3 linked regions of the Lepisosteus oculatus genome follow. The protein of the gene in region 3 interacts with the protein of the main gene of each other region in a pairwise test. Links are inferred from orthologs where the notes say so. Each region holds a gene or a part of one and is shown on either strand. Other genes may lie near its edges.

Evidence for each region.
Region 1: the proteins of stac3 (region 3) and pparab interact in a two-hybrid assay, tested with the Homo sapiens proteins (2 studies listed by BioGRID). The two-hybrid records come from large-scale screens. The link is inferred for Lepisosteus oculatus from reciprocal best matches to the Homo sapiens genes STAC3 and PPARA.
Region 2: the proteins of stac3 (region 3) and mab21l3 interact in binary tests that used the Homo sapiens proteins (3 or more experiments, as listed by UniProt). The two-hybrid records come from large-scale screens. The link is inferred for Lepisosteus oculatus from reciprocal best matches to the Homo sapiens genes STAC3 and MAB21L3.

Annotation. Positions count from the first base shown.
Region 1 is NC_090702.1:4,311,645-4,319,150, reverse strand, and holds the start of pparab (peroxisome proliferator-activated receptor alpha b), read left to right. Parts: upstream 1-4,495; 5' UTR 4,496-4,718; intron 4,719-7,506. UniProt on the Homo sapiens protein: Ligand-activated transcription factor. Key regulator of lipid metabolism. Activated by the endogenous ligand 1-palmitoyl-2-oleoyl-sn-glycerol-3-phosphocholine (16:0/18:1-GPC). Activated by oleylethanolamide, a naturally occurring lipid that regulates satiety.
Region 2 is NC_090710.1:33,057,181-33,064,302, reverse strand, and holds the start of mab21l3 (protein mab-21-like 3), read left to right. Parts: upstream 1-4,067; 5' UTR 4,068-4,172; coding exon 4,173-4,220; intron 4,221-5,881; coding exon 5,882-6,022; intron 6,023-6,889; coding exon 6,890-6,961; intron 6,962-7,122.
Region 3 is NC_090696.1:18,375,635-18,383,548, forward strand, and holds the start of stac3 (SH3 and cysteine-rich domain-containing protein 3), read left to right. Parts: upstream 1-4,844; 5' UTR 4,845-5,066; intron 5,067-5,483; exon of another isoform or gene 5,484-5,562; intron 5,563-6,423; 5' UTR 6,424-6,486; coding exon 6,487-6,503; intron 6,504-7,914. Other genes in the region: R3H domain-containing protein 2, read left to right, coding at 1-49, 343-427, 1,060-1,376. UniProt on the Homo sapiens protein: Required for normal excitation-contraction coupling in skeletal muscle and for normal muscle contraction in response to membrane depolarization. Required for normal Ca(2+) release from the sarcplasmic reticulum, which ultimately leads to muscle contraction.

The sequences.
Region 1 (7,506 bases), on a different chromosome or scaffold from region 3:
AGGCTTATCCTTGAAAAGTGTTTACTGTTCAATGTACTATGAAGGTTAAAACCTGTGCCTTTGGTGAGGTCACTTCCTCTAAATCCTAGACTTATTTCAGGACTTGCAGCTGAGAGTCTGTCCTGATTCAACAGTCAAAACTGACTTAGCATGCTGCAGTACTCACCTGTTCTTTAACCATCTGACAGACATCGTTATAAGGGCAAGATTGTCACAAATGCTGTTCATATAACATCAAATATTTAATGTTATGTTATTTACTCGTTTGCAGTTTTACCTGGCTGCTTTTGGTGTTGTTTGTCTGATGTCTGCTCCAAGCACAGGAGAGTTTAACGGCCACCCAGAGCACAACTGGCAAATTCCAACTGTGATTATTGTCATTTTTCTGAGAACAAATAGTAATACCATAACGTCAAAAGTCTCATGATTACATTCCTGTAATTCTACAAAAGGACTCTGCAGAATCACGATGATATTTTACCCACCTTTACCATTGATTACACAATTATTATTTTTTTGCCGTTGGACTGTTACCATCAGTACATCAGTGCTGCACCTCAATAAGAAAGCCAAATGGAGTCGTCACATCAGTTAATTTCGTAACAGACCTCTGTTGAACGGTAAATCTGCTGGTATCCAGACGAAGAATTGTGTAATACTTTGCAAATTCAAAAAAATGGGCAGCGACCTCATTTGAAATTTGGACAGAACTTGGAGAGGTGCTCTTTTATTTGTATAAAAGTTTCTGGTTAAATGCTGTAGGACGTAAAAACCTAATTGTGGTGGTTATTGTAATAGAAAATTGAATGGACGCCATGGCAAGTGAAACTTTTGTTTCAAAGATTTTTATAATTCTGAAAGCTACTGTTTTTTTTTAAATTATAACAGTTGTAGAAGGATCAGCCTGCCTGTTTTTTTTTTTTTTAATTCCATTAATGGACGGGAATTAACTGGAGGGCATTGCAGACTGTGTGGTTTTTTTTTTGCTTTTCATTTTAGGAACCGTTTAGGAAACAGTTAAAAAACCAAAGTGACACGGTTACGTTCCCTGAAAAGAGAATGGATAACTCTCCCCTGGATAACTCACAAACAGCCCCACTACACGGCCAATTAAAAAACAACGATTTTGATTTAAACCTCGCAATATTTGCAGAAGACGAACGCCTATGGCCCACAAAAAAATAATTAATCTACTGGGCTCATGGTTTACTAGTTGTGGCTGGGCTGTTTTCTGTTTTAAATAAATCTACAGTATGAAGCTTGCTACAGATTTTAAGCTTCTTTTCAATCTTAACTTTAATGTTTATTCTGTAGAAACTGTGTAGAACATGAGATTATTTGGTTTGTTTGCATACAGTACATGGTTATACTTTAAGTATTGGTGTAATAATAATCGCTTACACTTATTCCGCTTTTCTGGACACTCCATTACCTCCACTTTACAGGTAGGACTCCCTCCACCACCACCAATGTGCAGCCCCACCTGGATGATGCGCCAGAATGCTCACCTAATGTAGCCAATTCATAGATGGGGATTATTAGGAGGCCATGATTGGTAAAGGCCAATGGGAAATTAGGCCAGGACGCCGGGGTTACACCCCTACTCTTTTCGAGAAACACCCTGGGATTTTTAATGACCACAGAGAGTCAGGACCTCAGTTTTTTACGTCTCATCTGAAGGACGGTGCCTGTTTACAGCATTAGGACCCACATGGACTGCAGGGTGAGCACCCCCTGCTGGCCCCACTAACACCTCTTCCAGCAGCAACCTTAGTTTTTCCCAGGAGGTTCCCATCCAGATACTGACCAGGCTCACACCTGCTTAGCTTTAGTGGGTTACCAGTTGTGAGTTGCAGGGTGATATAATAATAATAATAATAATTGCTTACACTTATATAGTGCTTTTCTGGACACTCCACTCAAAGCGCTTTCCAGGTAATGGACACTCCCCTTCACCACCACCAATGTTCAGCATCCACCTGGATGATGCGACGGCAGCCATAGTGCGCCAGAAAGCTCACCACACATCAGCTATCCGTGGGGAAGAGAGCAGAGTAATGTAGCCAATTCATAGATGGGGATTATTAGGAGGCCATGATTGGTAAGGACCAATGGGAAATTTGGCCAGGACACCAGGGTTACACCCCTACTCTTTTCGAGAAACGCCCTGGTATTTTTAATGACCACAGAGAGTCAGACCTCTGTTTTACGTCTCATCCGAAGGACGGCGCCTGTTTACAGTATAGTGTCCCCGTCACTATACTGGGGCATTAGGACCCACATAGACCACAGGGTGAGCTCCCCCTGCTGGCCCCACTAACACCTCTCCCAGCAGCAACCTTAGTTTTTCCCAGGAGGTCTCCCATCCAGGTACTGACCAGGCTCACGCCTGCTTAGCTTCAGTGGGTATGGCTGCTGGTGTACTAAGAAGGGCTCTGTTAATTTGTACCAAACCGTTTTCAGTCAACCATCGTGTTAATTTTTAATTAGCTATATCCATTTAGGCAGGTATCCAGATTTTTTAAAATCAATTTAATTCATAAGGAAGCGTCTTATGCCAAACATCAGACAGGTTACGATACAGTCATCTTGAACTTGAACTTGAACTTAATTGCCATATGTTACCGGTACTGGTACAATGGAATTCTTACTTGCAGAAAGTCTCTCGATTGTAAAACAAGTGTAAAAAACAAAACAAAGTGCAAACAGTGCATCAAGACAATGTACAAACAAACAAACAGACAATGTGCAAGTAAACATGTAGACAGTTTGAATGTAAACAATACAGACGTGTAAACAATGACTGGAGATGTGCAACAGATAAGAAATCATAAAGAGGTAGATGGTGATGGTGTACTGTAGGTGTGGTCCGAGGGGGATGGCTAAATGTGTTCGCCAGTCTCACTGCTTGTGGATTGAAGCTATTGAAGAATCTAGTGGTAAGTGTCCGTATGCTCTTATATCTCTTGCCTGAGGGCAGTGGGGTGAAGAGCTCATGCCCGGGGTGGTGACTGTCCTCTGTGATGGCCAGAATTCTACCACGGCAGCGGTCCTCATAGAGCTGTTTAATCTCGGTGAGACCGCAGCCGATGATCTTCTGGGCCATATTGACCATTCTCTGCAGTGCCTTTCTTTCTCGCGAAGAGGTGTTGCCATACCACACGGTGATCCCGTTGGTGAGGATGCTCTCGATGGTGCAGCGGTAGAAGTTCACCAACACATGTATTGGCATCCCCCATCGCTTGAGGCATGCTCACAGTCCAGGTTAGATCTTTAGAGATGTGAATTCCCAAAAACCTAAAGCTGGTGACTGTTTCCACTTCCGTTCCATCAATACTGAGTAGGCTGTGAGTGTATGGCTTGTGTCTCCGAAACTCCACTATTAGCTCTTTCGTTTTCTTTATGTTCAAGTCCAGGTTATTGCTATGACACCACCTAAGCAGCTGTACAACTTCATTCCTGTAAGTGGACTCATCATCATCACTGATCAGTCCTATTATAGTGGTGTCATGTGCAAACTTAATGATGCGGTTGTTGCTGTGTCTTGCTGTGCAGTCGTGAGTGAATAGGGAGTACAACCTTGGACTCAGACAGCAGCCTTGTGGGGTTCCAGTGCTCAGGGTGAGTGGTGTTGATGTTTTATTGCCTATCCGCACCAGCTGTGGTCTCTCGATAAGAAAGTCCAGAAGCCAGTTGCAGACAGAGTTGCACAGACCTAATCCCATGAGCTTTGTCACCAGTTGACTGGGTATGATAATATTGAATGCTGAACTGTAGTCCACAAACAGCATTCTCACGTACGAGTTCTTAGTGTCCAGGTGTTCCAAGGCTGTCTGCAGAGCCAGGGAGACAGCATCATCCACTGATCTGTTGTTCTGGTAGGCGAACTGCAAGGGGTCCAGGGACTCTGTGATGGAGGAGTTGATGTGTGACAACACCAGCTTCTCCAGGCATTTCATCACCACAGATGTTAATGCTACTGGGCGGTAATCATTCAGGCATGTCACTTTTTTCTTTTTGGGGGTTGGAACGATAGTGTTTTTTTTAAAGCAGGTGGGGACCATGGACTGTGACAGGGAGGAGTTAAAGATCTGCATTTGTTTTCCTAAATGAATGCACTCTCTTTTGTAAGTAGATAAAACATTCATGTAGAAAAATAACATTACTATGTATATTCTATTTATTTTTTATTTTTTTTGGGGGGGGTGAACTTCGTTAAGTGATTAAAAAAAACGACAATTCAACGTGCACCCCTCTTCAAGCCGAGGGTCTGCTACCGTGCTGTTTCAGGACAGCGGCAGCAATGCCCGATTGTAACCAGCAGTAGGAGCAACAAGGCAAGCTGTTTGAATTTCGGTGTCTGGGGGGGTAGGGGTTAGCCGGCGCAATTCCGCCGGCCAGCCGCGCAATGCGATTCGCCGAGGCCATAGGTGTGTCGGGAGGTGTGTGGGCATGGTGGCTTAGCACATGTCAGTCATGTCGTCATTTCCTGCGGTAGACGTGGGGGAGGCACTGCTGTCTGGCTGCGCCTACTGTGGGATTTTGACAGTGGCCGTGCTTTCGTAAAGAGGCAGGCAAATACGTGCCTGAAAAGCCCGGTTTGTGTTTTTTTTTTCTTTCGCTTTGCTGTTTGGCGGATCGGAGCCCTGACACCTTTCGTCCCTCCGCGGCGGCTGGCGAGGCAAATGGCGGCTTCTGCAAGGGCACCTGATGACAAGGTGAAACGATTTTGTTTTTTTTTTTTCTTTTTGTAGGCAAAAAAAGTTCAAGGGACTTCTTGCCAGCACAACGTCCCCCCTCACTCGGCGTGCAGTAACTCAGCTGCCCGTCGTTGAAATTGCACGTTGTTGCAAAGTCTTGTTTTTGGAAGTTTTGTGCTTCTTATGAGAGACTCGGCTTTTCTTTTCACAACTCCCGTGTACCATTGATTAGTCTCCTAAATTGACCCCATGCATAGTTGTGATATTATATGCGCAAAGTTGAAAATCACACAACACCCGTATACCATGTCTAAACCCTCGCAGATGTCATTCTGTTTCTGGATGGAGCATGCGTGCGCATATGACGAATAGCAACGAGCTGCAGGCAACTATACAGGTTGTTTTCCGTCCTTTACATGCTAGTTATGTATCTATGCATGCGGATCTAATAACTATATGCTGTAGGAGAACTAATCACTTCCTTCGTGCTTTTTTTAGCTGCGCTTTCAGTTGCGGGTGATGCGATGAACATTACTGACAAGTTGATAGAGAAGAATGCAGTTCAAGTCCTCCGTGTTTACTTCAAGCGCAGGGTTTATTCTGTAGCTATTTCGTGACAATTATACCGTGTAGGCAGAGGATTGATCATGACCTGCAACATATTCTTTGCTCAGAAACGTGTATTTAGCAGTGCAGTCGTGTACCAATTGTCTCTACACAACGCGAGTTGAACAGGAGTTTAATCAGTTTAGTAGCCTAGCATTGAACTTCGACTCTACGTAGAGCAAAGGTAGGGTTGGAGACGGGAAACAGGAGTCATAAAAAGTAATTTTAAGAATATTCTAATGTAATGATAAAATAATTACATGTTTTTAACCCCTATGTTCATATATATTTGACGAGTCTTTTAAACGTAAACTTTTCATTTCACTTTTTGAAAGTTCTGCTATCAACACGATACCTGTGCACTTACTCGGTAAATAGCGAAATTGGTTAATTGGTGCAATTCAACGTTTTAATAAACGCCGTTTAAAATTGAGAGGCCAGTCCTCTCGAAGAGCGATGGAGGGTAGGTTGTTAACCGGTCACTGCTGGTGTCTTAATTCACCGCCGAATTAAATAAACGAAATACCCGGTCCTCAACATTTCATCGATGTAGCGGATTAGGTACAGCTGTCATGGGATTTTACAAGCTTTCGCAATGCCTCCTTAAGCCTAAAACGCAATTTTGGCTGCCTTGCAGGCCACTGTTGCGCACAATGGAGTTGTCCTGTGCAAAGAGAAATCCTTCCTCTTAACTCCATAGTCTCCGAGTAAAATGTCACTCGGGCAAATCAGGACTATGTTCTCAAAATCAGAGCCGGTATCCAGCCGCTGTGTCATAATCAATTACGGGAGCGTGTCTCGAACTGAAAAGTGGAAAGGGTGCTTTGCAACGCATAATCTCGTTTACTTGTAAAATTGGTGGGGTTACAGTAGCTGGGACATGTAACAGCGCTCGCTTTTCTGTCCTATGATAATAAAAAAAACACGCAGCCCAAATACAGTAACTTGGTAACCACCACCAGCAGCTAAATGTCTGGCTACAGTATTTTACTGGGGTTAGCAAACGTTTCGGACGATGTCGGCTGTGAAATTACCTCAATAGGTCGAGGCTCTGATTTATTTAAATTTATTGTCGTGTCTCTGTTCTTTATTTTTCATCTGCGCGGAGAAACGTTTTTATCGAGACTGCGGTAATTCATCGGGCAGGTGAAGGGTATTTCATTAAACAAGTTGGTTTCCATGTTATATATCGCTGGTTGTGTGCGTGGTTTCATTTTTACGATTATCGCCTTCTCTTTGGAGAGCTTGTTTTTCCACTTCATTTTTGGTCCGTTGAATTTCTAAGTGCTACCCTGTGAATGCCCTTGTGGAGGAAGGGATATTTGAGGAATATTTTCATGATGGATGAGGCAGTGCGCCAACTGTTGTTTTATGACAAAGTCCAATTCATACTGATGTAAAAGTAACAGTTTGTGAACAATCTTACTAGTGTCTTTTTGCAGGCTTTCTGTAAATGGTGGGTACAGTGATTTTGCTCCCTTTGTGAACAGTTTCATTTGAGGCCCGTTTCACCCTTGAAATATGCACAAAGTTTTGTTTTGGTGAAATCTTAACATGACGTGAGCTCACAAGAAATACATTTTGATACCCATGCTTCACAGTCAATAAGTGAAACAATATATCATTCTATACCTAAATATTTAGGGAGGTAGCCAAGCTGACAAAAAACTTAAGTAATACAGTAATATTTACCTTCACACATATATGGCGATTATGCTGAATTTTATTCCCACTTGCTGTGTTTAATACAGCCAGTAAATTTTGAGAAATTCTAAATCTATAAACTATGAGAAAATTGTATCACATTGAATACCTATTTAAATAGGGTTGTCTTGCTAAAAATACAGATCAAAGTCAAAATACTGGATCAAGCAGTTGAAGAAAATTGTATGCCAATAAAGACTTATTTAAATTAACTGAGTCGTGGCTGTCTATTATTATTATCAGATGCACATATCCCATAGAATGTGTGATATATCAAATTATATATGAAGTGCACATTAAAAGAAAAAATATCAAACACAGTATGAAAAGCTAATATCAATGCATCATTGAAAACAAAGCAGTGAGGTTTAGTGGACATGCAATGCTTGTGCAGTGCAAAACAGGGAAAACTAATGTCCTCTGCATGGAAAACAGCAAGGAGGAGACATTGATTACAGTAAAGAAGGAGCCTCTTTGAGCAGGAGGGCAGAGCAGT
Region 2 (7,122 bases), on a different chromosome or scaffold from region 3:
AGAGTTCATTGCTCAGTACTTTTATTCCTCAAAGCACAGAACCATACAGTATACCTGTACCTGATTCCAGAGTCATATCAATTTTGTAATTAACCAAAACGGAGCACAAAATGTGAAATTAGGTCTTACTACTGCATTCTTTAATTTTAAGTACATTTTACAGTACATTGTACAGTTTTAATCACATTTTGAAACAATTTGTCTTTTTCATTGTCCCCCCAGATTTTCTAAAAGATAGAAATAGTGTCAATATAATCTTCTGAGTCAACATCTAAGTGTTTTCAATAGATTGCTCACTTTTGAATTGTCTCTAAATTTTCCTGTCTTTTCCCGCAAATCTACCTATTTTGGTATCATCTGTGACCATGATTTATTGATTAATTTTGCCAGAATTGAGAACAGTGATATAAATTAAGAATAACTGTGATCCCTATACAGATTCATGTGAATTAAGACCAAAGTACAACATTTGCAACTATGTTATTTTACCAATAACTAATATAAATTAGAATAATTTAAAATCTGTAGCATATTCCCAGATGTACAGGGACTGGCCACAGTTAGAACACCAGTATTAATAAGGGAAGGATATTTTTCTGAGACTGAAGCCTATACAAGCAGTCACACAGATACATTATTGCTTCATGTGAGTTAATACGTTCCTGCTGGAAATGGGGGCGTAATCAATTCAGTGGCTTTGAGTACAAATTTAGAAAAAAAAATCCTCTGGTCAGAAGTCAATGGCATCGACTGTGTCAGATCACATTACTGTGCTCAACCGCTGATAGTTTCCTGTTTTTCCTGCTTCAGAAAAGTAAGCCAACTGTTAAGTTCATTGAACTGTTCTGCATGCTATAAAATGGAAATAGTCAGGCTTATACATCAGCCTTCTTAAAAAGTGTACTAAATGCATAGGGGCTGATTCACACAAGGCTGTAGTGTGATAGGACATGTATAAGCTCAAGGGGAAACAGCATACACACAAACCACAGACTGAAGTGTTTCCAAGCCCTACATGCATGTGCATGTTCTAAAAACAAATTTCATTTAAATGTTATGGCTCTGCTAATTGCACTGCAAGGCATTCAAATGATGTTGAAGGACAAAGTAACCAGAGTCATGATATGCGCTTGCTATTCGCAAACACTCTGTAGATGGAGTGCCTAATTTACACATACATTTGTACAGATGATAAACAGGTAGAAGGGGCTGAGATCCTTCTTATAAAAAGGAAAAAGAAACGTCCACATCCTGAATGCTCAAAATACATGGATATTTGTTGAATAAGAAAAATCTTGCTATATTGCCAAGTCTGCATCAAACTTTAAGTTAGCACAAGCACTTTAAATTACAGCATAATGACACAAAAACATCTGGATTACATTTTGCAGGGCAGCGTAGTGTTCACATTTATTTAACAGTTCATTAGTTAAATTGTACTTTTCTGTGTTATTTTATCCTCTGTGCATTGGTAGTCACCATTATTTTACTGTAAGACTGTGAAATGCCAGTATTTTAATCATTGCAGATCTATTAATACATATTATGTGTTTGCATTAAACTAACCTAAAGTAACACTTTAAGCACCCTAAACAGTAAGTCATGATTATTCTAAAAATAAACCTTTAATGGTATTTATTGGGAGTTTACAGTTGTTGACAACACAGTCAGATGTTTTAGGCTAGCTGCTCTTTATGATCAATTAGACTAAATCCCAAATCATTGTGAGTCACTCTAAGTGACTGTTGTGGACTGAACAGCGCAGAGGTTGCTATGATAAAATGTTCCCCTGGGTCCAAATGCTAGCTTAATTTGTTATCTGTTTCCATTTATGTGTTTTTGCTGTACCCATGACTTGACCTATAAAAGGAGTTTTTTCCCCATCTTTCTGTCTAAATGCTGTTTTTCCCCATTACTTCAAAAATTCAAAATACAATGTATCATAATGTTGGACTGTAAAACAGCAGATGTTTCCTCAATAAATGTTAATTAAATTTAAAATGGTTATATTCTCATTAAATACGACTTAAGACAAATAATAAACTGATGAATAAACTCTAGCTTTTTGACAGAGTACTGGACAAAAGTTATTCACTATAATTCCACCAGGATGTAAATTGGGTGCACTTTGGAAGTGATAAGTTATAAATGTGCTGTACTGTATATGTACGTGGTTAAGTATAGTTTGCCTAAGCTGAATACTGTATATACAGTATGGTATGTAGTCTGGTATATTCAGCATATGACTATCATTCCATTACTATATATTTTAAATTATTGCTTAGTTAAGAACAACACGTTCTTTGTTTAATGTAATTTTAACGTAACATCACACATGCCATTTAGTTAAGAAACCAAGAAAGATAAATACTTTAAGTTTGGAGTTACCTATGTTTTTAGTTTTCATTTCTAATTGTAATAACAAACACCATGAATAGAATATGAGAGACATGCTTTCTAACTGTGCCATACACATTTTTGCTCACAGTCTTGTACGGATTTCATAAATGTAAAGAGCTGATGTTGATAGAATAGGACTTAAGTGTTTCTAATCGGGTCTAAAGCACAGTATTACTGTTGATTTGTTACCATTAGTTCTCACCTCCACTGAAATCATGGTCCCACAGTAGTGAGTTTACTGCCAATCCAGGTCTTCTGGTCTGCTGTTGGTCTTCAGTTTTCCTGTTTGATGCATTCGGGACCCTTTTAAATTTGAACATATTAGTTTTATTATTATTCTCTGTCAGCCTATTGCATCATTTGTTTGTTTGTTTGTTTGTTTGTTTGTTTTGGTGTGAACAGGTACTATATACTGTACGCCAGAACATCCCATGGGTGTAGTCCCACCATGGTTTGGTTCACACCACACCTACTGCAGGTGTCCTGTTTTCCCATGTACATAATGTAACCTGCACGTTTGCTGTATATTTAGAGACATTCGGTGTTGACTAGATTATCGGAATATAAAGTGGTTTATGATATTTACATTCTGCTTAATGAGCTTATCTGGTTAAGTCTGTTGGCTACAATGATTTCCTTTTATGATGCTATAATCTGGGTTTTGCTATAATCAGTCTCTGCTCCTGTGTGTGTGATCACAGATTTGTGGGTTTTGTAAGTCTAACTAGATATTGTACTGACTATGCATTCCTATATTTTCTATATTATAGTTTTACAAGTTATCAGTATCCCCTTTCCCTGACCTTTCTGTTTGACTCTGTTCATCTGCCTCTGCTGCTCTGTCGCTCAAGTGGAGTTAAAGCTCCAGTAGCTGTTTTTGTAGGTCAGGTCAAAAGTTGTGAAACCTCAGATTCCAACAGATCTTGGCAGGTGTTTATTTTCTGCCTTTAGGCATCAGTTTGAATAATATACTGGCTTTGCTGTAAAGAATTTTTATCTCGTTCACATTCCAGTTTACAATATTAAAAATATGTAAAGTGAAGGAACCTGTTCTCTTGATTGTTGCATTTTGCATGTTATCGTCTTTCTAGGTGACAGAGCCTTTGGTGTTGAAATGTTAGCTGATGCCACTGTGAAAGTTGTATCTGCAGGTATAAAGAGGGCCAAAGGTCAAACAGAACAGGTGAGATAATAGTCTCCGTAAAATGTACTGTACCTCAAGTTAATGTTTCAGATTTCCACATAACTATGGTAGTATTCATAAAGCTAATCAATGTTAGAGAAAGTTTATTCACGTTCAATACCTTCAGAATGTATTATAGTTTATTTACTCTCAAACACCTTTCTATTCTCTGTATTTATTGTGCTAAGTATTTTTTATTATGTATTTATATATTATATGGAACCAATAGCATACATAAGCATGACGTACCTGTATATGTTAGGAAAATTGCATTGTATTTAAAGTGATTTTAGTAACTGGTTGCTAATGTTCTGTGTTGTTTTAATGGGTGATAGTTTGATAGTATGATTTGGAGGACTAAGGGACCATGAGAACACATTCATTCCTAAAGTCAATGGTGTTTAATCAATAACGTAATGTTCAATTCCCTTTTTTTGGCTTGGTGTTAAACGCATTGCCACATTGAAGCTTGTGGTGAGTGAGATACACATCTGTGAGAAGCAAGATTATTTACCCAGAACAAAGCAACAAGAATCACACAGAACTACAGTAAGCACATAAGTGAACCAAAATACAAGCAGAGTGTGAAATGACAGGTTTTACAGAGGAAGACTTGGACAACTTCCTACAAAACCAGGTAAATAATCTGAAGTCTTTTTTGGAAAAAAATATTTTAAAATGATTTAATGTTCTCTTTCCCTCTCTTGTGTCTCTTTTGGTTAAAACATTACTACTTTATTTATACAGTTAATGCAGTATAATATATAATATAATATAATAAATTGGCTCAGGGTGTGGTAAGATTGTAATCTTAATAAATTACATAAAATTATATTATCAGAAAGACTATTTTATCAGGTTTCTTTCTAAAATGATTAGGATTGTAGCTGCTCAATATACAACAATGTGTAAATGTGCTGCATGATGTGTACAGTATTTATGTATTTCATTGATTCTGCAAGAGTGACCAGTATTGTACTAGAGGATTGCAATGTGGTGATCAGTATTTTATTATCCAATAGTTGATTTGGTATCAATCAGGAAATATTTGCATATATGCATTACAATGATATTTAATGAAGAATTAAATATAAGGTGTGTCATATTGCAAGGCAAGTTCCAGATTATTTACCCAATCCCAATTACCAAATTTTATATTAAGCAAATACTACCCAATTACCCAGTCTATTTTAACCTAATCCTTTAATTAGTCTCAACTTTCCTTTAATTTTATTTGAGCAATAAAAAACATTATTTTGAACACCAATTAAGGATATGACTTTATGAAATATAAAATTATCTAAAACAGGTAACAGTATTTTTTGTATGGCTAGATGTTGCATTTATCACTCTAATACTAAACCTTTATTTTATACACAGTAGGGTCTTTCATGCCAATACATCAGTACAGATGTAAACAATCAACACCTCATAAAAAAAACATGTTGAAAAAAGAACAAAATATAAAAATAAGTATGAGCTAGCCTTCGAAGATAAATAATGTACTGTATATTCCTTGTATAAATGTAATTTATCGTTTAAGAAAAGAAGAAGGTGATTGATGGAACAGCACTTCAGAAACTTAAAAATAACAAATGTTTGTCTTTTTCTTAACCCAGAGTTAGAGTGGTCATGTGGAAACTGTGGTAATGGAAATTGTATTACAACTGCATGTAAACTGAAATAAAATTAATTAAATTCAGTTTTTGACTTAAACTTTGAATATCATAAATACCTTATTCAACATGTTGATCAAAAGTCATTTATCGTAATTCTAAACTTCATTTAAAGGTACATGTAATGCACACCCACCCTAGCTTTTTTGATAACCTACAGTATAACATTTGTTCTGCTTATTTTCCTTTCAAGCTGAAAAATAACGGTTCAGTCATTAAGCCCCTGCTCTGTCTCGTGAATGACATTCTTATTGTATCATAACATTGGTTTTGTTACATTACAACAAAACAAATCATATTCTCAACTCTGCTTTTTTTTTGCTGGTAGTCAGTACGTCCAGTTAAAAACTTTCTGATAAAATGATTTACGTTTTTTAGTTTGCATTGCTGTTGTATGTCACACCGTATTGTATGAGTAAACTTTATCAATGTAATTGTGGGCTGAGGAGGTGGCTGTGTGATAGGTTTTGGGCCGAGAGGCAAGAATGGCAAAGAATAATGTTCCTGGAGAGTTTGCTATTGGCCGACAAACTGAGAACATGCCAGCAGCTCTGGCACTTTCCCAGCAGAGGGAATGGTAGGTTTCCTGTGGCCTTGTGGCTCTGAATGCCCCTTTCTGCAGGTGGATCTCCGACACCGTCAGGTGTCCAAGACAGTGGACGAGGTTCAGCAGATCATCAAGGACCTGACCTCAGAGGTGAGCACCAAGGATGGCCGATTTCAGAGCATCTCCAACTCTGGTGTCCACAATGATAATATAAAGGTACATTTTATATATCCTTTTTGGTACATCTGTATAACTTGTTTACCATGTTACCTGAGAAGCAGGGTAGTGCCTCAAAGGTTGGACCCAAATACTAGCCACAGATTAATAAAGGACATTCGTAATGACTGTAATGTATTACTGGAAGAAAATAAGGTAGAAGAAATTCAAATTAATATTATTGTATGTGCCTACATTAGTATTTTACAATTAAGAAGTCTGGCTTATACCAATTCTGCCGTAAATGTATTTTGTTGCATTGCTGTAATAGGAGTAAAGAGGTTGTCACAATTACAGGCACCATCAACAGCCTTAACTAGATCTAAATCCAGCACATTCGTATTGACAGCCCTGTAATTAGAGTGTGCAGTTGCAAAGCTCATGCCAGGCACTCTCTGGATCTTTTATTTGCTTTCAGTCTCCAATTTCAGAGTTTTGCCATTTTCGGATGTGGTTTCTTCCTCTCCCTAGTTTTAATTCCAGAACAGTCCCTTCAACACCCCTCCATAGAGGTTTTCTTAAACTGCCAGCATGCCTGTCTTCTTTGTGTTTTTCTTTCTTGGGATTCCTGCTGAAAAGAATTGTTTTTTGTGAAAATCAAATGGAGACCATATTATCTTTGAAACCCAAATTATCATGTACGTTAAAATGGCCAGTGTTTATTAGAAGTTCTATAATAACTGCATACTGTAGAATGTCAATTTTGGGGCACAAGTATCTCCAAAGGGGTTATGTTTAAGGTAGTAAGATGTACAGAATTTCAACACGTAACGGTAGCTGTAGCTTTACTAAAAATGCTGGTTTAAAAACCCTGTTTACTCAATACTGTCCTCTTCTCTGACTCTCTGACTTCACCATGCTTGCCAGGATCAACCTGCTCTAATGGCCAAATGGGCAGCTCTTCTGAGGGGAAAATGTGCATTCAACCCAGCCATCCAGGTAGTGTCTCGTGTCTAAATCAAACCATTTCACTGGAATTTCTGACTGTAGAGAAATACCTGTACATTTCCCGTGAATCTGTCCTGACATTAATGATATTAATATAATTAATCATTGGTACTGTTTTCTGGAATTGAAACACTGTGTACACTTGGAAGGCC
Region 3 (7,914 bases):
ATGCCCCCCTCAGCTGATCCACAGCCAGTCCTCGTATCCCACACACCAGGTGAGACTTGCCGCCCTGTGCCACACAGATCCCTGGTCTGTTGGTGTGGCTGCTCTCTGCCATAGGATTTCTAGAGTGCCCGTGTGCACTGTGCTCTGAGCATCTGCCAAGTCTTTGACCTTAAAGAAGGCAAGAAAAAGAGAAGCTTGTGTTATTATTCTGACTGTACAGTATTGCGACACACACCAGAAAAGGCAGAGTAGACTGCAGAGCCCCCTTCAGGAGGGATGGTCCCTTAGCTCAATCCCGAAGAATGTTGTGGTTTTCCTCAACGCCTGTCTTTCCTGCTAAAGGGACAAACTGGAATGAAGCATGGCACGCGAGGGAAGCGACAGACCCTGAAATCAGCATCCACAGACCTGGGCACCAACGATTTAGGTGAGGCTCTGACCTTTCTCCCAGTGCCCTTGGGTTTTTAAAGGTGCCGTTCCTCGTTAACCTCACCTGTGGTTTCCCATTAGGTCCCTGCTTCCTTTCCCAGCATCCTTATTGTCTTCCTCGCTCGACTTTTACCAAAATTACCCAGTGTGTCATTCTAAGACAAACCAGACCTTGTAAAAAGGGCTGTTCCTCTGCATTATTGGTAAATTGTATTGAGGTAATAAGGGCGTTGAGCAGTCTTGCAAACTCCTTTGTAAAGCCTGTATGGGAAAGATTGGTCAGTGACACCCATGCATCATGGAAATGTTTCTGGCCTTTCCAGGAATCCAGGAATGCTTGACATGATTCAATAAGGACATCACAACAAATTTCTCATCTGGAATTATGGGAATTGGCAGTAAAAAAATAAAAAATGCCGCCTTCATGCTTGTATGACTGAGGGAGGAGGAGGGCAAAGTTTTTCCTGGGGGAGAAGGTTAGGATCACGGGCATGTCAACAGGAGGCTTTCTGCAGGCTCCCCCGTCCAGTCCGAATGGGCTGTTTGCCGCGTGCGGCTGAAGGATTAGTGGGCCGCGGTGGCAGAGAGGTGAGGTTTCAGCCTGCCTGTGTTCTGTGCCACCCCCTGCAGTGGTCAGCCGCGTGCTGGAGGTGACGGACCTCCCCGAGGGCATCACGCGCACGGAGGCCGAGAAGCTCTTCAACCAGCTGGCCATGTCGGGCGCCAAGATCCAGTGGCTGAAGGACACGCAGGGCCGGGGCGACGGCGGGGGCGGCAAGGGCGACAACGACCCGGCGCACCTCTACACCGTGGTGGCCGTGTTCCCCAGCACCATGGCCGCCCAGAGCGCTTCCTTCAAACTCAATAACTCCACCAGCCGCTTCAAGCTGCGCGCCACCAAAAAGAACTATGACCTGCGGATTCTGGAGCGGGCCAGCTCGCAGTAGGGCAGCGGGGCAGGGTCGCGGCGGGGAAAACGAATCGTCTCGACAAAAGGGAGGAGAAGTTCCAGATTGGCGTACTCCAACTTTCTATTTTTTTTTATTTACCTTTGTTTTTTGGGTCTTTTTTTTTGTCAGAAGAGCACACAAGACACGCGAGCATGCGTGCGGTTTGATGCGCGTATGTGTGTGGAGCATTTACTGACCGTGTGCGCGTGCCCACCCACCCACACGCACGTACGATGACCCGACGCGCGGCGCACACGAGGACACACTGGACAGTCGACCTCACTTTACCCACAATCCCCCACCCCACCCCCCAAACTTGTCCTCCATCTTTTATTTTCTGCTCCTCTGCTACCTCCCCCTTGTCCTGTTTTCTCTACTCAAACTCCCGGTCTCTTGCACCCTCACCTTCCCTTCTCACTCATACTCACGACTTCTTCCCTCTCCTGGCGCACTCTCGCTCTCTCTCACTGTAGCGCACACCTCTCTCTCTCTCTCGTTCTCTCTTGGCTGCCTCCGTTGGCTTCTGTTTGCCTTACTACTGCTGTGGCTTCATGTGCTGCGCTGTTGATCTTTTCTTTATTCTGTTTCTTCGTTCGTTTTCGTTTTTTTGTTTTCTGTTTTTTTTTGGTTGAATATATTTATATAAGTGATTTAAGGATTTAAAAATATATATATTCAGTGATTTCAGTGGAAGAGTTTATCCCTCCCGTCCTCACCACACACTCTCGCCCTGCTCATTCTCAGCCCCTCGCTTTCCCCTTCCCCTGCCTTGCCTCTTCTTCCTCCATCTTCCTGCTCCTCCTCCTTGATCTTTTCTCTTTCTTGTGTTTGCGTTTTTCGTTGACAGCTGTGCAGAACGTATCAGAAGAAGTATTTAAAAAGTGCACAATTGATTGCATATGTCTACTGTAAATTTTATTTAATCTGTTATTTTTGTTTTTAAAAATATAAAAGTGAAAAAAAAACCCTGCCTGCCTGTTTGGTCTCTCTTTTTTCCCCACTCCTCCTGTTTCTCTTTCGAACAGTGCTCTGGAGGAATTCAGTGGAAGCCTACATCCAGAAGAGCATTTGTTAAAGGCAGACTTGCAGAAGTGCCAGTTTCTCCCAAAGTTTCCATTTAAAATGATCTTTTTATTGTAATGGATCAGTTACTGCCCAGTGCTTGAACTGTATTGTTTAGTGTTCGCAACCTAAAACTCACTCGGTTTGTTTTTCAAGCTCATATTCCTAAAAAAGACACACTTGTAGAAACTGATGACCACAACCCCTAAACGTGAGTAAGCAAGAATAGAATGATGTTTTTTTTTTTCAAATAGTTTCCACATTGCTTATACTTGCTTGCATTTATCTCTGCCCCCCCCCCACAAATGGTCCTGTGTGCTTCACACACAGGGGGGAGCCACATCATCTCCCTCTGCAGTGCTGCACCCACCTGGCCGCCCTGCACCAGCGCGAGTGAGAAATTCCCCCCCAGACTGAATTATGAGATGGGCAGGGGGATTTAAGTGGGTAGGTTTTGCAACATGAGCAAACATTTAAGGAGCAGGCAAGTGGGAAAGAGGGTTCCCAAGAGGAGCTGATCTGGACTGAAGCCATAGCAATCCGTAGTGTCGTAGAGTTCTTCCAAGAAGAAGCAAAAACCAAGTCTGCCAGAATCGGGGAAATGCTTTCAGTGTGGTCCCAGCCAGTTTGTCTGCAACGGCTCCTTTAGAAAGGCTATAGACCTCGTCTGCTCCTCCCACACCCTCCCCTTCAATTCATACTGATCCAGTTATTGACCAGTCTCTGATTTAGAAACTTATGCTTTGTAGGGAATGTTAATATGTATGTTTATAAAGATCTGTAGAGAAGTATTTAAATAGTTCAGGTCAAAGGATAATCAGTTTGGTTGCATGATCACTGCCTGGGGTCTAACAAAGACCTGAAAGCTCCTGGGAAGTGGAGCCTTACGCTGTTAACAGGCGGTAATGGGGAGTGGAAACTAGTAGACATTGTATTGACAGGTCAGACCAGCCCTGAGATTGATATCCTGTGGTAAAGACACTGGAACGGACTGGGGAAGCCATTGTCCAGGGGTGCCAGTCACACCTGTCTCTCAAAGATTAGTATGACCATGATTCGTTGAATTTGTATAGCACTTTCCTCCCCAAATGCCTTCGAAGCCTTTAATATGCGGGAAGGCACCTACTTCCAGACACTGAAGTGCACTCCCTCCAGCAGCCATCCTGCACAAGTGATCAGGTGCGCAGGTGAGAAACCTCAATCAAGGTGCCATGCTTTAGCAACATCAATAAGACATTGTCCTGCTGAGGTAAGTGTAATTGGAGGGCATGTGTGTTTTTGAATTCTATAGCTTTGGTTAGATCTGGAACTTGGTTTGGGCCCCGTTTTTCTGCGGGTTTGACAGACATCCAACCCACTGAAGCTCAGCAGGTGTGAGCCTGGCCTGTACCTGGAGGGGAGACCTCCTGGGAAAGCTAAAAGGTTGCTGCTGGAAGAGGTGTTAGTGGGGCCAGTAGGGAACGCTCATCCTGCAGACTGTGTGGGTCTTAATGTCCCAGTCTAGTGATGGGGACACTATATTGTAAAAAAGGCACCATCCATTGGATAAGATGTAAAACCGAGATCCTGACTCTGTGGTTATTAAAAATCACAGGGCATTTCTCAAAAAGAGTAGGGGTGTTGTCCTGGCCAGATTTTCCCCGGCTTTCGCCAATTGTGACCTCCTAATAATCCCCATCTATGAATTGGCTTCATTACTCTGTTCTCCTCCCCACTGATAGCTGATGTGTGTTGAGAGTACTGGCGCACTATGGCTGCTGTCTCATCACCCGGGGGGGCTGCACATTACCTGTAAAGCGCTTTGAGTGGAGTGTCCAGAAAAGGTTAGATAAATGTATTATAATGAGATGTCGTCTGTATTCATCTGTCCCATCACACACTGGAGTGTTTTAGGTCAGGTGGCTGATCGGCTGTACATTTCCTTTATTGCTGAAAGATTGGTGGTTTTGGACCAGATTAATAAAGTAGCTTTGACCCAACTTGATTGAAATTTAGAGTAGGAGGTAAAAGTGTTGATTCCATAGAAACCTGAACCTGGCCATCAGTGATCAAGATTTTGGTTAGGAGGCTTGACTTAACCTGTGCTAAGTACGCTTTTTAGAACACGTTGTGTTTGTTCTTGCATTGGTCTCCCTGTCGGTGTTTCTTTGTTTCATGGTTAATAAGCAATGAATACAGTAAATGTGGTCTGTCTAGAGAGTCTGAAATAATCCTTGACAACCTGTTGGCAAATTGTTAGTTCTTTCACAGTAACGACATGATAAAGGTGGGGATTGTCTCCCTCTGACAGACCCCTAGCCTGTCCCATCAGAGGTGTCTGATTTCCTGGTGTCAGCTCCTCGTTGCTCAATCCGTGTCAGCTGTTCCTGACTCCTCTGCACACGCGCGCACCCCCCTCTCCACAACACTCTGGTCCTCTGGCTTCAAAAACACCCCTCCTGTTGGAAGGGCCATTTGGAGAGTCAACCACAGCAAAACCCAGGGACAAAATTGTGCCGGACTGCGCTGCTGGTGTTAATATCACTGGCAAGTTCGAGCCCCTTTGGAAACCGCGCAGGAATTTCCAATTGGCGATTCCTTTCTGAAGAGACTAGAGCCACAGAGGGGAAGAGAAATCCCAAGGAGGTGAGAGGATTGTGTTTTTTTCCCCCGGGTGGGGCTCGTGTATTTTGCTTTGGCTTCAGAGCTGGACACCCCCTACGGCTCCTCTTCTTGTAGGAATCGTTCCTGTTGAGTCTCTCCGATTGCACAGGCGAAACAGAAATGCTGACTGGGGTTAGGAGAGGTGCTTGATTAAAATGCTCCGTGTGTAGCTCTGGTCCAATCTTTAATGCTCTGAGATTAAGCTCCAGTCGGACACCCCAGTGAGTGTTCTAGAGCGTTACTGTTGTAATTCAATCTGGGCTCCTGGGCCCACGATGCTCCGGTTTTAGTCATGTGGAGATCAGGTTACCCCCTAACCAGGAATAGAGCAGAGCAGTCTGAGCGCGAGTCACACACAGAGAGAGAGAGCGGGGCAGAGCTCATTGGTGTACAATCGGGAGAAAGAAGTGTTTGGAAACTGTTTATTCCCGTTGTTCTCCTTGGGCTGGCAAGGCTGGGCCGACCTGGAGGAGTGCTGGTCAGTCCTCGGACTGGTCGACCTGAACGACACCCGCCTTCCCTTCGCGCCGGCGGCCAGTAACACAGGAGGAGCGCTCCGCATGAGGAATTGTTTTCAGCTTGCCCAAGGCTTCGTTATCCCAGTTCCCAGTTTCACCGTGTGCTACTATCGGGGCTATCTTTATTCCATGACAGGGCTTCCCAATCCTGACCCTGGGGATCTGCTGGCGTTTGTTGCAGCTGAGCTCTTTACTCAAATGAGCCCTTAACTGAACCAACAAGTCGCTGGGCCAGGACCCCGCCAAGCTATGCTTGTCTGCTGAAAGGCTGGAGTCCTCGTGTTACTTAAATGCAATGGCTAACAGACAACCTCCTCCATGTTTAGGAACTGCAAACGACGAGTTCAGACCACACCTGTTATCATCAGGTGTGTTAAGGGTTCAATTACTTAACTGAGCGCTCAGGTGGAATATAACCCAGCAGATGTTTGGGTTCCCAGGATCAGGACCAGGACACCTGCACTTCTGCTACTAGTGCCAACACCACTACTGAAGCTATGTACTTGATATTGCAGCTGCCACAGCGGGTAGTTACCCTTCTGCAGCTGCTGTTTCTCCTGCCACACCTTCACCTACAGCTAGTGATCTACTGGTCCCTGCACTGCTGTCGTGACTGCCGCCATCTCTGCTTCTACTGCCGCGGCTACTACTCTCGCTGTCTGTAATGGATTTGTTCCTCATGTTATGCTAAAAGATGCAAAAGCACCTGTAACAAGTGTTCAAATTATACTAGTGGTCAACGTATTACCTGCATCAGTGCTAATGGCAGTGCAATGGTGTAATATAGAGCGTTTCTGTGTGTCTCTCCCCTCTCCTGGCAGGGTGTCCTGCTACCTCAGGAGTGGCCCCGTGCTTGAGAGCGAGGGAGACTTCCCCCAGCAGTGATGGCGCAGTACGACCAGTGAGTCCCGATTCCTCCGTCTTCCCGCCCAGTTTGCTCGTTGGGCAATGTGACTGATCTGATGAGCACAGTGCCTAGAGCCTCTAGCAGAGGGTGATCTTGCTGCACTGTCAAAACCCCACCCTGCCTGAGGTTTAGCAACATTGCAAGGACACGTGAAAACTGGGAGAAGATGGTCCAATTCAGCCAATCATTAACATAACATCACTTTATTAGCCCTCTACAATTTCTTGCATTAGGAATTAATCTTTTCGCAGACCCCAGCTTGCTCTCCATGAGACACAGACAGGGAGAGAGAAGCTGGGGGTCAGAGCGCAGGGTCAGCCAGTGTACAGCGCCCCTGGAGCAGTTGGGGTGAAGGGCCTTGCTCAGAGGAGTAGGATTCCTCTGCTGGCTGTGGGATTTGAACCGGCAACCTTCCAGCCACAGGCGCAGATCCTTAGCCACAGCGCCACAGCTCCGCCCATTAGATTAACTAGGTAGTTAGGAATGAAAACCTACAGTGCAATCCTGGACTAGAATTGTACAGCCCTTGAGAATCTGAATGCAGGAAGAAGCTCCGTGAAGGATGTGAACTGAGACAGTTCTGTTATCCTTGAAAAAGGCCTTGGAAGCCCATGCTGTCACCACGGTCTTCTTTAGGAACAGCAGTTTCCCTGCTGTCTCGTCGATTTGCGGTGAATACTATTATCTCTTACACCAGATCGTCACTGGAATTACAGGCTGCATTTTTCCTCATGCAGGTCCCTGCATTCCTGCACAGCTCTGTGCAGTTTTGCACAGCTGTAGAATGCCAGGCAGGTATTTCAGCACAGATCTGTGCAGGTGCTGGCTGCAAGGAACCCGGGTGACATTCTGACCCAATAGAGTAAAACCAAGGTCAAAAGTGGCCCTTACATAGTAATATATAATTATACCCTTTATTATTATATTACCTTTGAATGCTTGCATAATCCTGACCTCTACAATCAGTTGAATCCCTCTCAGACAAAAAGTAAATGCAATTTCGATCTTCTCTGCTCAGTATAGTTTGGAAAAAGCTGGTTCTCCTGAAGCCGAGTATGATGTCTGAGAACCTGCAGCCTTGGCCAGCAAGCGCAGTCTTCCATGCTCTGTGTGAACACAACCACACACTTATCTACTGTACACCCATCCATTTTCTTACCACGTATTCCAGTTCAGGGTTACAGGGGAGCCGGAGCCTGTCCTGGTAAGCAGTGGGCTAAAGCAGGACACATCTTGGATGAAACGCCAGTACATTACAGGGCAGATACTGTAGACACAAACACAGACGTAGACACACACTCGCTCACACCAGGGCCAACACTCCCAGAAGCCAATTAACCTACCAGGATGGCTTTGGAGTGTGGGAGGGAACCCATGCGAACACAGAGTATGCAAACTCCACACA